Linked DNA regions of Drosophila melanogaster. The protein of the gene in region 2 purifies or fractionates together with the protein of the main gene of each other region. This does not show direct contact. Each region holds a gene or a part of one and is shown on either strand. Other genes may lie near its edges. The genes, in order: sas and Ptp10D.

Evidence for each region.
Region 1: the proteins of Ptp10D (region 2) and sas purify together in Drosophila melanogaster (affinity purification with western blotting; one study listed by BioGRID). This does not show direct contact.

What each region holds. Positions count from the first base shown.
Region 1 is NT_033777.3:7,160,807-7,165,849, forward strand, and holds the start of sas (stranded at second), read left to right. Parts: upstream 1-2,001; 5' UTR 2,002-2,234; intron 2,235-3,315; 5' UTR 3,316-3,553; intron 3,554-3,622; 5' UTR 3,623-3,714; coding exon 3,715-4,054; intron 4,055-5,043.
Region 2 is NC_004354.4:11,619,948-11,625,118, reverse strand, and holds the start of Ptp10D (protein tyrosine phosphatase 10D), read right to left. Parts: upstream 3,105-5,171; 5' UTR 2,934-3,104; exon of another isoform or gene 2,762-2,933; intron 1,367-2,761; exon of another isoform or gene 1,290-1,366; 5' UTR 1,017-1,289; coding exon 903-1,016; intron 1-902.

The DNA.
Region 1 (5,043 bases), on a different chromosome or scaffold from region 2:
TCTATGTAGATTGTACTCATAATTAAGCCAATTACTATTGAACAACTTTCGCTGCTCTTCGTCTGCGCTATCGCATTGCATGCGATTGGGTAAATCAAATCACACAAGTATCAGGTTTACCAGGTCCCATTCCAACGATGCAAGGAAGTGGGTGCTTAGGTCTGTGGCCATTTGGTAGCTAGATAATTGGCTATCAGTGGAAGACCCATTGGTAGTATGCAACTTTGGAATTTTTTACAACACTTCTAGTCTTCTTTTCTTTTGCTTAATTTATATTTCTTAATTTTTAATTCTTAATTCCTAATGCTTTAGTATTCATATGTTGTGCATTTTATGCAAAAGACACTACTTGTAGTTTCCGTTTTCTTGCAGCGTTCTTTTCCTTTGCATACATTGAGAAATGCTCCATTCAAAAACTGTGAGCATAAACTGAAGTTGCATTGTTATTATTATTATCTTTTTATGTTCGCCTGTATTTTATTAGCATTAGCATTAGCGGCTTCTCAATGACGGTGCGATAAGCCCCAGACAAAATATATGTATGTATAAACAAAGGGAGACAATGCAACTTTGGCCGTGTTTGTGCAACACCAAAAAAAGCGCATTTCTGCATTATTCTCTGATGTTTGCACGTTAATGTATGCAACCACAAGAGCAGCCCCAATAACATAGAAACTGTGTGCACATTTGATACTTTTTGACGTCTGCGAGCAGAGAGTTGAGAGTTGAGTTGGATATGATTTGATTTGATTAGATTTGAGTTCTTCAGACACACATTTCCTTTTTAATGACGGTTGGCCAACTTGCTGCCATTGATGTGTGATGACGGTTTCTGGGCGCGTCTCGCATCCCAAGTGGAGAATTGATATTTGCATCGATGGCATTTGATGGCGGTGGATCAGTCAGTGATCGGTGGATTTATGAATTTGGGAGCAGCTCCGCAGATAAGGCCTTCGGAATGGCGGTTATTTGGGTTTGCTAATAGATATTGGAATTTCATGAATCTTTCTAGTTTTATTTAATATTTCGGGTATCGCAGTAAAAATAACTTTTATGTAGTTATATATACATATATCGTACTTTCCTCTATAGAAACCGATTTGACCTCGACTAGTTTTTGGGTTTTAATAGCGTCGGCGTACTTATCTTATCTCTAGTTTTACTTATCCCAAAGTAATTGGTTAAATATTATTAGAACACCAAACATTTAGGGATTATAGTAATTATTTCACATAATATAATATAATATAGTACTAATGCTATCCTTATACTAATCATTTTTATCACTCACGAGTGTTCAATGTACCCTACAATAGGGGTGATAAGGTATCACCTTATCACTTATCATTTCACTCTTTCGAAGTAGCATAGAATTTCTTTATTTAATCATATTTACGAAAGCTGTAAATGGGATTAATCTCTTAGTGCCGCTGTGACCCCAAGCATCCCTGACTCATGAACACTCTGGATCTACGAGTATGGAGATGCAGGGCCGCTAATACGAATCTACGCTTGTGCTCTTTCAAAAAGTCAGACAAAGAAGTCGAGGAAGAAAGAAACCGAAGGTAGGCGTAATCGGAACGATGAATGCCAACTCGGCTTGGCCTGGGTTTTTCAATGGGATTGAGTTTTTCGCCATCCAATTGGACAGTCCAAATAGATCGCGCTGAGTTCACTTGTCAAGGAATCGACTATTGCAGTTGCCTTGCCAAATTGAAAAAAAAAAACTCCGTCTTTGAGTCTTGTGTATGCATCATGGTCGTCTTGTTTCGAATCCAACGACTTCTAGAGAGGGCCTTTCGCTCACTACACCCACACTGGCAGACAGCAACAGCCTAGACACACCTGAGTGTGGGTGAGAGCGAGCATTCAACCACGGGGTAATGGTAATGGGTATTATGTATTACGTGCACGGTCTCACCTGTTGCGCTCAGCTGACGCGCGAGAAGGAGCCAGCCAGATGAGAGCCAACTAAGAGTTGGCCGGAGAGCAACAGCAAACCAGTTACATGTTGGCAGCCTGCAGATGCAGACCGTGGTGAGTTGGCAACGCTACCAGCCAAGATCCGTGCCGCCGGAGAGATCAGTTGGTGGTCGTGCTTGAGACGGAGCGGTTGGCCGAGTGCGATCGCATTACTTTGCGAACGATTTATATATACATATAAACCGCGCTGCCCACAAACGTGGCCAGATAAGAGGAGATATATACCAATACCTATACCTATTTCTCGCCGGGTTGGTGCTAATCTTCGTTTTAAGCGTGCCTGCGTGTGTGTGCGGTTGTGATTTATGCAAATCTTTGCTTTCTTATTAAACAAACACAAGATCTGGTAGTGAAATAAACGGCCCAGCAGAAGAAAAGAGAACCACGACCGAAAACATTCCATTGGAAATACCGAAAACACGTTTTCTCCCTCCAGCTCCGAATCGCTTGTTCGCTGTTTGCTTTCTGCCATTTGCCATTTCTACAAAAAAGGAGTGAGAGTGAAATGTGAAATGCGAAATGTCAGTGCAAATAGCTATCAACTTTTACAATGACATCACTAGATGTTAGCCAAAAGAAATATTAACAATTGCCAGCAGATATGGAATAAATAGAACCGCACGCTGTCTAATTGCCTTCGTACCAATATGGCCAAAAAGGCGTGCAGCAAATTCTGCGGTCTGCAGCCGTTTTCAGTTGCAGTTTCTGCTGCTGCCGTTGGAACCGGTTGAAATATTTTGCTATCGCAATTTGGGTCTAGGGTTTTTTGTTGCTGGCGTTGCATTGTAGCGAGTTGCATGAGCATCGACTGCCTTGCATATAAACAGTATATCTTTTTTTAGAGCCCAATTGGCAGCCTTTGTTTTTGGCAAGCTGGTTTATTTGCCTAGTTTCTGATTTGAATGGTGAGAAGTAAACATTGTGCTGGCGGCGTAGTCTTAAAAAAATGAAAGATATTTATGAGCTGCTCTAGGCTTAGGTACAGAAGTTGTAAATCTAAATGAAATATGCTAAATAGGGTTTACGTATCGTAAATCTACATAGGTTTTCAAAAATTCGGACACATTCAAAACTATGCGAAACTTTATAAAACAAAAGACTTGGGAAACGAACTTGCGTGAGTGGCATCGAAGATGTTTACGCTTTCACACTTAAATTGGTCATTACATAAATGTGTGACATAGGAAATGCTTTAGATATGCGGCGTATTTGGAAAAATTAGCTAATACTTTTATTTCGTAGCTTAATTAACTCACATATTATTTTTGATTGATTGAGTCAAGAGTAAGCCACCCCTATTTTCAAGCTAACAACTTTCCAATTTCCGCGTAGGGCGACCTAACAAATCACTCAACAAATCGGCTGGCAAAATATAGACTTGAGTTGACACTTGAGAGATCGTTATTCAACCGACTTTCAACGGAAATGACAGCATTTGGGGTTACCAAAGCGAGTCAATGACAAATAACAGAAACCGCTGCCACAGATGTCGTGTGAACTAAAATAACCGCATAAGAAAATCCCGCACCCCAAAAGAGAAAACTAAATAATAACTAGTGAACAAAAGTAGGTAATGAGTTATCGAGACCCTTCGAAACGTTTAAAAGTGCATGTAATTTATTTAATTCCATATTTATAGCAGATTACTATAAATTAACAATAACAAGTGCAAACGTGTGAGAAAAATCAAAGAGGAAAAGCCAAAAAGACGGAGCACAAACATAAACCAAAATGCAAACGTGTAGAAGAAGAAAAGCCTCCGGCGGCCAATCCACGATCAAGTGGAGTAGAATGTGCCTGGCCACTCTCTGCGGATTACTTTTGCTTGGCATTCAAATTGAGCGTGCGGCGTCTGCGCCCGCAGGCGAAGACGCAGCGGCCACAACGATGCCACCTTTGGATACCACAACAGATGCCCCAGACGCCGTTGCAGCCACCACCACTCCAGCCACAACTGCCGCAGAACAAAGCAGCAGCATCAGCAGCATAACCACCGAGGCGGCGGATGGTTCAACGACTTCCACGACGACAACAACTGAGGCGGCCAACAAATCCAATGCGACCGAAACTGGTGAGTCCAAGCCGAAAGCCATGAAAATTATAGATAGACGGCATCTACGCGACGACGCTCGCATAGCTGGGGCATCTCATCCCGATCTCCGGCCAGACACTTTAATCCCGCCTAGCCGCGCTGTGCTCTCTGCGCCGTAATCAAATCTCGTTCTCTGAGCCACCAATTAACGCCGTGCCGGTGCGTGACTTCTGGTCCGCCCTTTTTTTTACCCATTTCGTTTCGATTTGTACGGCATTTCTCCATAATTATTTTCCGATTCGGTTAAATGGAGCGAACAAGAGAAATTGTTTGACTATTAATGGATGGAAGAATATTTGAAGATATACATAAGCGGTTTCCTGTTGAATTACTTAGTTAATTACGCGGCATATTAAAGGGAAAATATTAAAATTTCCGGCCCTCAAGCTCAATCTCGGAAACCAATTATACGAGAAATTATTATTCGTGCTAGAACAAGTGAATGAACTTAATTAAATCTTAATATATTCTACTCGTACTACACCCAAGATACTCAAGATAAATTGAATTATACTTCTATTTCGATACAATTGATACTTAATATAAAATAAAAAATAATAAATCAGATTAGATTTTTTTTTTTTTTTTTGTAATTCTGTTGAATGAACACATTCACATTTAGGTTATTAGGATAACTGGAGAAATTCGTTTAACCAGATCACCTGAGATGGAATGATTAACTTTCACACACGTACCTTTTGCAAAATAGATTAATCGGGCAATTCCATTGCCGAGTTCTTGGCTGTAACAGATTTATAATTATCTAGAAGGTTGTTTGGGCTTAATGTCAGTTGCACACCAAACTCTTCACGAGGCAAGCACTCCGTCGTAAAAACTTCAATTGGTTTTTCATTGTTTTGATACTATTCCATCTAGATTCATTGATGACTCGATAAAACGAGGTCTAGCAGGCCACACACAGGTCTAGATCGATTGAGCATAGGTTGTTGCCATGGCAAGTGGGAATG
Region 2 (5,171 bases):
GTTTATGAAAATTGAATTCGTGCAAAAGTGCAACAGTGAAAAACCTAATTAGGAAAATTGCCAGCCTTATCGATTGCATCACTCAGCTGAGTTGCACACATCGAGGAATCGGCAATGCAATTACTTATTATGCAACACAGCTCGAAGTATCAATTAAAAATGCCAGGCATGCAAAGTATTTAGACAAATTCCTTGAAACGAAAATATAACTATCTGTTAAGTTTGTTATATTTAATTATTCTGAGTGTACAGGGTATAAATATGTCATCATCTTCTGTTAAATGCATTCTACTTCATATCTGCACAGCACACGACTTGAGATGCAAAATGCAAAATCTTGTTCGGTTATTGTTTGTTACTCTTGCTTTTGTTTGTTGTTTCCTCAAGGTCTTTGATCGGATTGGAGTTTGTTTGTTGCTTTGTTTGTTTGTTTGTTTTTAGTACTGTGTCCAGTGAGGCAAATACATTCGCATAAACAATGGCGAAAAGCAAACACGATGCGAAATAATTGAATTTAATTAACATGGGAAAGACCACAGACAAAAGTGACGAAGACGATGATTTCCATGTGGGCGGTTTAATTCGAGGCGGGGGCGGGGTCGTCACAAATAAATAATTAAATAACTTCGGACAATGTTTGCAGAACCTTGTCGTTTCGATAGCCCTCGAATTTAGAAAGTTATTTGTGCACATTTCGAGGTTATTGTTGTTTATCATATCTTTTGAACTCCTATCTAATTTTGCATATTTCTCTTGTATTGATGTATCCTGAATAATTATTATTATTATCCTGAATAATCGTTTCTCCCAAGCTAAGATTCCGAAACGGGTAATTCGACGGGCCTATAAATCCACCCGCTATTGTGTGTTTTGGCCATGTTTTTGTTGGCCCTCTCGCTTACCTTTAGTGTAAATGCTGCCAGAAATGCTAAACTCCAGAGCCAGCGATGTTGTGGAACGGCTTTTTGCCTTTTGAGCCGGATTCTAGTAGTGGCTTTACTTAGCTGGTACAACATTTTGGGGCCGTCGTTTTGCTGTTTTCGTTGTTGTTTTCCTCTCCGCCTGGCTCTCTTTTGTTGCCTGCTTCTTGTTTTATTTGTTCCTATGTTGTTGTTGCTTTGGACTTTGCAATTTATTGTGCGATTTTTGAATTGGGCTTTTCGCTAGTTTCTTTCGAATTCGGGCATTTTTAGCGCGAGTTTAGTCTTTACTTTGATTAAATGCATTGTTTTCACAGTTTTCCCGTTAGTGTGGTGAAATTTTGTAAATTTTTATCCTGAATCCAATTGCTTGCAATTTGTTGGTTTAATTTGAATTGATTAAAACATATTCTTGTTTTGTTTTTGTTTGTTTTTTATTTTGTGATCTGCAAGAGAGTATGAATTAAAAATAACTGAAAGAGTGATCGCAAGAGGGAGACAGCTAGATAGTGCCGCTGTCCTGCTCTCTACCTGCTCTGCTTCCTCTTCTGCTTATCCAACACTTTGCGCTTGCGCCGAAAGCTTCAGTTCCTATTTTTTCATATTTTTCTGCGACTTGTTTCTATATTTCTGCACAGTGGAACTAGGCAAATGCAAATTTGATTGAACATTTGAGATTTAAAAACCACTGTTAAGACTTTGCTTAATAAATCAATATCAATTATTTTACTTATCTAGCAGTAAAGTATAATATTGAAATACCCGTTCTACTTAAGTTTTCATTCCTGGAACTGTGTGATTAAGCAATGCATTAAATTCATTTAAATCTAATTCGCAGACAAGTGCTAATTAATTGCACTGTCTTGTGCAGTTGCAAAAAAATACTGCTGATCAATAATTTAGCCTGCGCTGACGTCATTGAAATATTTAAAATATCGCAGCCAGCAAAAAAACCAAATAAATATGAAGAACAAATAAAACTAAACGTCTGAAAACCAGTTTTGCGAAATCAAAACGATACACGGCACAAAATTCAAATTGTATTGACAAGTATCATATCTTCTGGAAAATTAAAGATGTTGTCCTTGTATCTTTTGAATAGACTTGTAATGAATTGGTAATCCTGCTGTAGGACTAATTTAATTTAGGAGTTCCCTTTTAAGCTACTCTAATTTTGTTCTGTGTATGTTTTGTTATTGTTGCACTGTCTTGTTGTTGCTTTCTGCGCTTGGCAACGTTGTCATGCAGAAAAGACCTTCAACTTTGTTGCAAAGAGAGGAAGACAGAAGAAGAGCAGAGCAGATTGATTTGATTGATCTTTTTCCTTCTGGTCGAGAGAGAAGAGCAAGAGAGAGAGAGAGGGAGAGAGGGAGAGAGAGAGCTTTATGATCTCGGCACATAAAACACAAAAACAAAACAAGTTTTTAAAAACGTATTTCTTCACCTCTTATTTATTGTTAAATGTGGGACAAGTTTTTTTAATGCGACTGGAAATTTTTCGCAACTTATTGTCAGCATTAATAGAGATTTTATGAAACAAGCCAAAATGATCCCCCAAAATTGAATGCCGTCAGAGAAACAGGAAGTGGAGAAATTTGCCGCACAACAACAAAATATTCAAATGAGGCTGCGTGTGAAAGAGAGAAAGCAGCGGCATGCCAAAAAACGAAATAATACATAAAAAAGCTGCGTAGGTGTTGCTTCTACCTCTCTCGCTCTGTGTCTGTCTGCCCCCCTCGGCCAACATTTTTTGTTATTATTATTGCACACACATACACACACACACACAAACAACTCTCAATTTCTGCTTTTACTTTAAGCTTTATTTCAGCATTTCTTACGTTTTCCACTGCGTTTTTCTCAAATTTTGCTCATTCGGCACGCCACTAAAAAAAACCAAAACATTTAAATATATACACCGTTAATTTGTGTATTTTATTTACTTCTATTCTGTTGTTGTCGTTGGTTATAAAAAAAATAACAAAAAACAAACACAGGCGCACGCACACTTACACGTACACGCAGGCACGCGACGCAAAGCACAGACACAAGAAAAAAGCGGAACGGACAATCGACAAATTTTGCGTTTTTCGAGCGTTTGCTTTGCGGCCCGCCTTAACAGATTTCGCGTCCGTACCGTCCGCACTCCGGTTCGCTCTTCACCACACTGAATTGGAATCTGATTCAAATCGGATTCGAGTCCGGAGTCGAATTTGGAATCGGAATTGGAATCGGAATCGGAATCGCCAACGCTCGTTTCACCTGTAGAGCTGGACAAATAATCGATGACCCAGCGATGGTATCGATAGGAACCTGCGCGGCTTCTATGTTTCGCTTGTAACTGTCAACTATTTAAAAGCAGAATTAACCATTACTTTGCTGCGCGGTTATAAAATAGTTAAATACAATTAAATTTGTTGCACTTGATTCTTTTTAACGTGAACCAAGCATTGCGGCAGTAGTACTTCGGCCATTACAAGTCCGAGCTCCGTAATTCTTATTATTCAATTACTCACACAAAATGTTAGTCCAAATGGACATCTGAGCCATGGGCTTAGTGAGCCAAGGCGATAGGCTGTATATGTGTACCCAGACAGCATGCACAGCGAAATGTTAACAAAGAAAACATTTAATATTTTATTATTTATCCCGCGCAAAACCGATCTGACCAAACTCAAGGTGTTTTTTGTTTCCGAATGCAATCGATTATAATCGATAGTTCAAACTCACCTCTGAGGGGAGTTAATTCGCCGTTATTCGGCTGCAATGCGTGCGCGCAAGGCAGATATAATGTGGCGCGCATTTCAAATCAGCTTATAAAAAAGTGTAACATTCCAACTCCTGAAAATAGGAAGTAACTTCATTGATTGAAAACACTTCCATCTTCTTTTATATAATTTATTATTTATTAAGGTTTCATTTGCATGAACTGTTACTGGTTATTATAATTAATTATTGTTAATTACAGGCTATGTTTTAATTGCTAGAGATTAGCAAGTTCTAAAAATTACATTACACATTATTATTCTTATACAGAGTATACCTCTTGACATTTGACATTACAGTTAAAACTAAATTACTAAAAAAAAACAATTCAAACTTTCATTTTTATTTGGACATATAACAACGCAAGGAAAACAAACAAAAATTAAATGAAAGGATAAGCCAAAAGTGTTTAAAGAGCACAACTCGTTTGAACAAACACTGAACGATTCGCTGGGGAATTAGCATTGGACTTTTAATTTAATTACACACTAGACAAACCGAGTTATAATTAAAAATACAAACAAAAAATTGAGCTAAACGAAAAGTTAATAGCATATATGTATGCATACATTTATAGCTAGAGGAATTTCGCTATAAAACAAAAAATAACGAAACGTGTTCCCCCCCGCCTCCCGCCTTCTCTGCGCCCATCACCAACCGCCGTTCCCCCAAACCCCCCGAAACCACCCACCGCCTCATATTTACCACTAGAACCACTTGGCCGAAAAAAAAATCATATATTCCCTCCGATACGCCGGTGATAAGAACGCAACGCCAAGGACAATGGCAAAGGCTTTGATAACAGGTCGGAGCGAGATGGGAATATGTCTCGCTCCCTTTCTGTGAGTATTGAACTACAGCCAAACTTCGCTAGTACGAACTTCAAAAACACTTTGAAATTTCAACTTAATCATATTTTGTCCAGTAGACATTATAGAAGTGTAACATAGATCAATTAAAATGATTATATTGTATTTAGCGGATTGGATTTTGGATGACAAACTTTTTTTTTAATTTTGAACACATTTGTAATAACTACAAAGTTTATAAGGATATGGATTTGGGGTATGCTTATATGCTTTGTAAAGTTCCCAAAATTAAAACTGTTGAAAAATAAAGCTGCGCCTGGAAGTGTTTTTATAGATTACAAAGGGATATCGAAGGAGATTTGTGATATAAATATATATACATAAATATATATATATAAAAATAATATGCTATTCTTCATAAAATAAAAAACCTTTAATAAAGTCTCCAATTCTGAGACTGAAGAGTTTGACTTGGATTAGTTTGACTGTACATATGTAGTCCTCTTTCTTTCTTCGAGCGAGACGGCAAAACTAAAAGCGAGCGTTTAATTTCCATCGATTGCAACATCCGTTTGTTTAACTATTAATGAGTTGTGTTTAGCACGTTCTAGACTTAGGGCGAAATAAATATATAATTGTTTGTTTGTTTTTCTATTTTCTTTTCTTTTTTTTTTTG